Linked DNA regions of Danio rerio. The protein of the gene in region 2 interacts with the protein of the main gene of each other region in a pairwise test. Links are inferred from orthologs where the notes say so. Each region holds a gene or a part of one and is shown on either strand. Other genes may lie near its edges.

Region 1 (4,457 bases), on a different chromosome or scaffold from region 2:
GAAAAGCACCAAGAAGACGTGATTTCAGCATGTTACATCAGATTTGCTGCACCGAGAGGTCAAGGCCACGCTGGCAGTTTGCAATAAATTGGAAGCATAATTGGTGTTTCACCTTATGTTTGCATATTTTGTTCATCAGCACCTCACGCATCACCTTTGCAGCATCACTGCTGACCTAACGATTCAGACTGTAGTTTGCATATGCTTATACCACACAACCCAGCAAATAATTTTGTGTTTAAAATATGTCTTATAGACTTCTAAACATAGACAGCTTGGCTAAAACAAGGCTAAACTTGGGCCGTCGGTGAAAATCTAACAGACATCTGCAAGTCGTCAAATAGACAGATTAGACAGACTTTATATGTGTAGTCATTAATTTCTGTTTATTTGATGACTAGTCTAGTTTTGGCCTATTCCTAGACATCTATTTAATTTTGCCTGACATCCCAAATTTAGCCTTGTTTTAGCCAAAACTACTGTGTTTAGACGTCTATTAGACATTAATTAAACATCTTTTAAAAACAAAAAAATGCTTGCTGGGAATGCAGCAGCTATGGCACTATTATTAAAAAAGTATCCACCAATCCCTTCACATATAATCAATTAAAATGACAGATTTATTTTTGGAGCATTATTAAATTCAAAACATCTAGTAGATTTCACACTACATACTGCATTTAATATAGTTCCACATTAGGGATATCCAGATGCGATCACGTGATAGGAACATGCAGTTTCAGACTTGATTTGAAGTGGACGTTACCTCCCGATTAAGTTTTTTTTTCCAAAAGCTGGAATGCTGGAAAAAAGTAAAATAACGGTTGTGCTATTACAAAAATTTACTGTAAAATAATGGTTGCAAAATTACAGAAATTTACCATAAAATAACAAACGTTAATTACAGAAATTTACCGTAATATAACACCCGTGAAATTACAGAAATTAATCATAAAATAACGGATGTTAAATTACAGAAATTTACCATAAAATAACAAACGTTAAAATACAGAAACTTACAGTAAAATAACAGATATTAATTTACATAAATTTATCGTAAATAATAGACATTAAATTACATAAATTTGCCATAAAGTAATGGATGTAAAATCACAGAAATTTACTGTAAAATAAAAGACATTTAAAAATTACATAAATTTACCGTAAAATAACGAACGTTACATTACTGAAATTTACTGTAAAATAACAGACATTAAATTACAGAAGTTTATCGTAAAATAACAGACATTAAATTACATTAAATTACAGAAGTTTATCGTAAAATAACAGACATTAAATTACAGATAGTAACCATAAAATAACAAACATTAAATTACAGAAACTTACTGTAAAATAACAGACACTAAACTACAGAAATTTACCATAAAATAACACACATTAAATTACAGAAATTTACCACAAAATAACAGACATTAAATTACAGAAATTTACTGTAAAATAACAGACATTAAAAAAATTACAGAAATTATCATTTAATGTGTTATTTTACAGTAAATATCTGTCTTTAACGCCTGTTATTTTACGAATTTTACAGCGGAAAAAATCCCCAGTAAAATAATGCAGTAGAGTTAGACCTCTGCAGTCTGGAAGTATTAAAAAGTTGATGACGACAACATTGCCATAGAAAACTGAAATATGTAAACTTGAGATTGCAAGAGGTGGAAAGAAAAAGACTACATTTAACTCGACAAACAAACAGAGTTGTTGCATGTTAAAAAATGGTAAATTAAATTAAAACATAAGGAACATCCTGCATTTGTTTCCTTGCTCTTCTTTATTCTCTCTTTATGTATTATTAAGGTATCGGATCGGGTTTCAGAATCGGTAGATACTCTAAATCAAATGACTCAAGGGCAAAAAAACCCGCTTGGGACATCCCTATTACACATGTATGATTAAGTCAATAACAGATATTATGTCTATTTGTTTTTAATCATAAATAGACTAGACACGCATGTTTGAACAGAAAATGTTATAGGTAATAATAAATGTTCCACTGTTTCAGTCAGTCACAAAAATCCACTATAAAAGTCCTTTTTATCACAGAGTCCTTGAAAACACATTTATCCGTAATTTCTCTCAGCAACATGAAGCCAAGGCAGCCTGAAATCCATCAACATGACTTGAAACCTTTCTGTTTTGCCCTGTAATCTATTAATAATGCATGTGAAGGAGGGGAAACCCCCAATAAATCCGTCCAGCCTCCCGCACAGAGCTTGAGTCATACCTTTTTTCCCCCCCCACATGGGTTCTATAATATAATCTACAGCAGCGGCAGTGAACACTTAGCACATTCATAAATAATTTCCAAAGCCCCATCTCGGATTTTGCCATAAGGCGGAAAAAAAAAAAAAAAAACGATCTGATGACAACACATGCTCAGCCAATAGAAAGGTGGCATTCACTTTGGGGATTATCAGGCTTATCTACAGGTCTTCAATGGGAAAACACTCAATATGTATCAGTTTGCATATAATCTAGAACACACATTTTAACTATTACACTTTCGCAATCAAAACAACTGACCCTTCTTGGAGATGCAGGAGATCATATAAACCCCCCTAATTGTGTTGGAGAACGCGGGCAACTCCTGCTTCCTACATCATCACGAGGGTTTTTCCTGCTGCAGTCCCGCTTTAAAGAGCATCACGAATTGAAGGCAAAAAGAGACAGGGGTGGAGGGACAGAAAACGAAGAAAGCTCCTTACCTTATGGTCTGCATCTCCTCGTCCGAAGCCTGGAAAAGGAAGAAGAGGAGATTACTGAAACGAACATGCGCCTGGTTCCTGAAGCTGCCAAGACATCACTGCGCAGTCTGAAGCACATACAGCTCTCTCTCTCTCTCCCTCTCCCTCTCTCTCTCTCTCTCTACCCAACAGTGCCAGTACACTTCTGCATCGTTCTCATGTGCGAGGAGGGGAGAAATCTTGACAGATTAAGTGCGAATGGAAAGCACAGTCGCAGCCAGAATGCAGATACACAACATCATACACGCCGCCCCCTCTTCTTCTTTCTCTCCTCCACGAAAGAAACTCACTCATCGAAAAGATCCACAGGATGTGAAAACAGACAACAGAGTGGAGAGAACGACCGAGGGTGAGAAAGAGAGAGAGGGAGATGGTGTGAGAGCGAGAGAGAGGTTGAGGAGGGAAACAGGTGGGCTCATCTGTTGATGAAAGGGATGGGGAGGCACTCGGGTTTCGCAGATCCACTGCGTGCCACAGCTTTCTTTCCTACTCGGTCTGTCTTTCTGCCACTCCATGAATAATGCAAGAGTCAGATTATGTCAGAGGAATTCACATTCTCATTCAGATTTAGTGTGCAGCAGTGACCAGGGGCCGTTCCAGCAGTCCTATTAATTCAACACCAGACAGGATGCAGGTGATTTAGCGTAGTATAATACGCTCAAGCTTATTCGATATGGCATGGGCCAATGTGTAAAAATCATGAAGCCAATGTGTTATGTTTGTACATTATGGTCAGTTTGGAAACTTTAAATGTCATTTCACTGTTAAAAATAAGTACAAATGCTTCCAACCCAGGCTCATTCTGAAAACGTACAGCTATATACATTTCTGGAGAGCGGCAAATATGTCCCAGAAGGTAAGTTTTTATACAGTAGTTTTTGTTTCACAAATCCACCAGAGGCTGTTGTGCATTGTAAAAAAAAATAAAAAATCTTTAAAAAAAAGGTTGAATGACTGGCAGCTTAGGCTGCCAAAAAAAAACCCATAAAATTACGGTAAAATTTCTTTGTTGAAATAAAGTGCAACAAATAATAAATCTACAGATATTTTCAATAAAATGTTTACAGAAAAAGACTGTTATTTTACAGACTTTTCCTTAATTATTACAATCAAATCCGTTCAATAAAGTTACACACTAAGAGTTTTGCAAAGAAACACTGTTATTTTACAGACTTTTCCTTAATTATTGCAATCAAATCCGTTCAATAAAGTTACACACTAAGAGTTTTGCAAAGAAACACTGTTATTTTACAGACTTTTCCTAGATTATTATGATCAAATCCGTTCAATAAAGTTACACACTAAGAGTTTTATAAAGAAACACTGTTATTTTACAGACTTTTCCTAGATTATTATGATCAAATCCGTTAAATAAAGTTACACACTAAGAGTTTTACAAAGAAACACTGTTATTTTACAGACTTTTCCTAGATTATTATGATCAAATCCGTTCAATAGTTACACACTAAGAGTTTTACAAAGAAACACTGTTATTTTACAGACTTTTCCTAAATTATTATGATCAAATCCGTTTAATAGTTACACACTAAGAGTTTTACAAAGAAACACTGTTATTTTACAGACTTTTCCTAGATTATTATGATCAAATCCGTTTAATAGTTACACACTAAGAGTTTTACAAAGAAACACTGTTATTTTACAGACTTTTCCTAAATTATTATGATCAAA
Region 2 (3,824 bases):
TTATTGACTATGGTGATGTTTTATATATGCATGCTTCAAACAAATGTCTTCAGCCTTTAAACTCCATAGTGCGCTAAGGTTTGTTACAGGCTGTCAAAGACTTACTCATCATCGTGAATTGTACGCTAAAGCTGAGTGGCCTTCTCTGTGTGTAAGAAGGTACACCCACTGGATGACTCTGGTCTACAAGGCTCTTCTGGGACTGGTGCCTTCATACCTATGTTCCCTTCTCCATAAGTCTAAAAGAAAGCATGCCCTACGCTCAAGTGAATCTTATAATTTGATTGTTCCCCGGGTTCGAACTGAAATAGGAAAGCGAGCCTTTAGTCATGCCGCCCACTCATCCTAAAATACTCTTCAGTCTGAAGTAAAGATATCTGAGCTCATCCCAATGACATCGTTTCACTCTATTCTTTTTAACAAACAACAACAGTCCATTTCTCAATGCATGTGTTTTTAATATACTGAAATGTGGTAAAGCTGGAAAACTGAACTGTATTTTTATATTATATTAATTTTCTATTTATTATTAATATTATTAAATTTTTTTCTTTTTTTTATATAAATCATGTGATGCAGACCTCTTGGCCAGGTCACCCTTGTAAATGAGATCTTGATCTCAATGGGTTTTTATCTGGTTAAATAAAGAAACATGTATAGGGACTTTATAATGAATTAGAAGTTTAAAGGAGACCTATTATGTAAAACTTACTTTCATAAGAGGTTTAAACACAGTTGTGTGTCAGCAGTGTATGAATATAAGCAGCTTCTAATGGTAAAAATTTATTCATTTTATTGTTTATAATCCCTCTCGATAAAAACAGAAACACTTTGATTGACATTTTCTCTTTGTACATGTCATCAGAGTGGGAAAGCCCCGCCCACTAGTGACCATCTCTTCCTCATTAGCATAGGATATAAGTCTTAAATCTGCCACTATAATGACACACAAGCATTTGCATTTGCACAAGCATTATGTGTGTGTGAGTGTTTTTGTGCATGTGTATGTGTTTAAATGTGTGTGTGTGTGAATGTGTTTTTATATGTGTTTGTTTTTGTATGTGTGTGTGGTGAGGGCACATCTGTGATAATGTTCTTTTGTTTAAGTGTGTGTGTTTGAGTGTGTGTATGTGTGTGTGTGCAAATGTATGATTGACTGTGTTTTTACATGTGATCATGTTTGTTTTTGTGTGTGTGTGTGTGTGTGTGTGTGTGTGTGTGTGTGAGCGCTTTGGGTTTTAGATAAGCGCGTTATAAATAAAATGTATTATTATTATTATTATTATAGTAATACCAGTACAAATTGACTTTGTGGGGACATTTTTGGTCCCTATATGAATAAAACGGCTCATAGATGCAGATTGTTTCCAATGAGGGCTGGTTTAAGGGCAGGAGGAGAGAATATACAGTCTGTACAGTAGAAACATCCTTATGTCTATGAAAATAAGATAGCTGTAAGAGTGTGTGTGTGTGTGTGTGTGTGTGTGTGTTTGTGTGTGCAGGAAACAAGCCCCTTAAAGAAGCCTGAATATCAGAACTTCCTGAAGGCTCATTCAGTGTGTGGAGCCGGGGGTCGACCGGTGCTGCGGCGCTCAGACAGTGGACCGACCGCTGCTGGAGACTCAGACTCTGAGGTCAGAAACACACACACACACACACACACACACACACACACACACACACACACACACACACACTAACTCAGCACACACTTACACTCACAAACACTTCATTCACACTCCTGCAGACAGTGTTGCGTAACAGAGGTCTGTGTGTGTGTTGATGTGTGTCCAGATGCATGTGAGAGGACACACAGTGGACTTTGTGAGTCATAACGCTCGAGCTGCGGCGAAGACCAGCATGAGGAGATCTCAGTCCTTACAGAACCTGCAGGACAAAACACCAGCCTGCGCCGTCAAGGGCAAAGTGCCGCCATAGTGAGTGAAGTTACACAATATTGGAATAACTGACATTACTATACTTTGTTTTTCTCAGATACATGGTTGAAGTCAGTATTATTCGCCCCCCTGTATATTTCATTCACCAATTTCTGTTTTACTGAGAAGATGTTTTCAGCACATTTCTAATTATAATAGTTTTAACTCATTTCTTATAACTGATTTCTTTTGTCTTTGCCATGATGACAGCACATAATACTTGACTTGATATTCTTCAAGATGCTAGTATTCAGCTTAAAGTGACATTTAAAGGCTTAACTAGGTTAATTAGGGTAAAGTTGGGTTAATTAGGCAAGTCAATAGCTGTTTCCATCCAAAAATGCGAATGAACTTTATGTGCAAAACTGGATTATCACATTAAAGTCATGCGAATAAAGCAGCATTACCTTCTAACGAGTCAAAGCAAACAAAACACTTCCTGATTAACTGGCGCCAAGTATCAACAGTAAAAACGGAATTTGCTGCGATAGGAGAAGCTGCATCAATCTGTTCTTTCAAGAGTTCACACTTAGCTGATGATTGATTATAAGCAAGTTTGGCATGCTGTCCCGGGAGAGAGCCCTGAGCTCAAAAGGTCCTTGAGCCCTGGGCTCCCTCCCGTTTGCAGGGCGAGAGGGGAGCCTTGAGCTCAGGTAGATCTCGACAACTCCTTCCTTGATAAGAGCTGATGACTGAAATGAATGCTATGAAGAGAATTGCTGCAGGATGAGAGATTGACTTTAGTGCTAAATTTAGGGTGCTTTCACACCTGCCTTATTTAGTTTGATTGAATCGCACTAGAGTTCGTTTTCCCTTTTGGTGCGGTTCGTTTGGGCAGGTGAGAATGCAGCAATCGTACTCGAGTGCGCACCAAAAGCGGACCAAATAAGCGTACTGAGACCTGCTTGAAGAGGTGTTCTTGGTATGCTTTCAAATGAACCCTGGAGCGGTTCATTTGTGGTGAGAATTTGATTCGTACTAAAACAGGTCCAACCGCAAAAAGTACTGCGCCTTTCGGACTAAGTCAGCTGCCGTAGGCCGATGCGCTGTGCATTATGGGATATAGAGGAAAAATATTTGTTGACAGCGCTTTACCAAGAAAGAGAGAGAGAGGGAAAACATTACCTGATGGATCGTTGGTAATATTTCCGCAAGATGAGCATGTCGCAGTTTAGCTAAATTAATTCACGCCTCCTCCTGAAGTGACGTGCGATGCATTAAAACACTGTTTTCCAGCCGCGGCCGCGCTTCATTCTTAAAATGTATAGTTTGTCTAAAGCAGGGATACAATCAGTCAGCGCAGTCGTCCCTCCATTAAAAAGCTACATTTTGTGTCTGCTGGTTTTGTTTACTTGTGGGAGTTCATTGGCTTTTTCCCGCACATGAATTCTGACCAATCGATACGCAGTTTAGGAAATATGTTCAACAACATCTGGCCAATGAGAAAGTGGATTTTATCAGATGACTGCATTTTGGTTTGTTCCAACTGGTTCGGACCAAAGCCAGCAGCGTGGTGTGAAAACACACAGAAAACGACGGCAGAAAATGCAACAATGTATCATTTATTGCCCTTGGTGCAGACCAAATGAAGCGAACTACAGATGTGCAAGCACCCTTAGATTGATCAATTCACTTGTTGTGCATGTTTTTAGAATGTGGGAGGAAACCGGAGAACCCGGGGAAAATCCACACGAGCACAGGAAGAGCATGCAAACTACGCACATAAACGACCGCTGCCCTTTTAAAAGACTACAACCGGTGACATTCTTGCTGTGAGGCAACAGTGCTAACCACTGGGCCACCGTGCCACCCTATAAAGGGAAAGGTGAAGAGGTAGGGGTGAAAGGGGGGTTCGTCAAACCGAAGGTGGCTGTAGTGAAAAACCCT

What was found.
Region 1: the proteins of enkd1 (region 2) and si:dkey-174m14.3 interact in binary tests that used the Homo sapiens proteins (3 or more experiments, as listed by UniProt). The two-hybrid records come from large-scale screens. The link is inferred for Danio rerio from reciprocal best matches to the Homo sapiens genes ENKD1 and BEGAIN.

The regions. Positions count from the first base shown.
Region 1 is NC_133195.1:9,518,493-9,522,949, reverse strand, and holds the start of si:dkey-174m14.3 (uncharacterized protein LOC563117), read right to left. Parts: upstream 2,817-4,457; 5' UTR 2,759-2,816; coding exon of another isoform or gene 2,744-2,758; coding exon 2,730-2,743; intron 1-2,729. UniProt on the Homo sapiens protein: May sustain the structure of the postsynaptic density (PSD).
Region 2 is NC_133183.1:3,674,735-3,678,558, forward strand, and holds part of enkd1 (enkurin domain-containing protein 1), read left to right. Parts: intron 1-1,502; coding exon 1,503-1,634; intron 1,635-1,794; coding exon 1,795-1,937; intron 1,938-3,824. UniProt on the Homo sapiens protein: Microtubule-binding protein which regulates microtubule organization and stability. Promotes the stability of astral microtubules and facilitates the proper orientation of the mitotic spindle.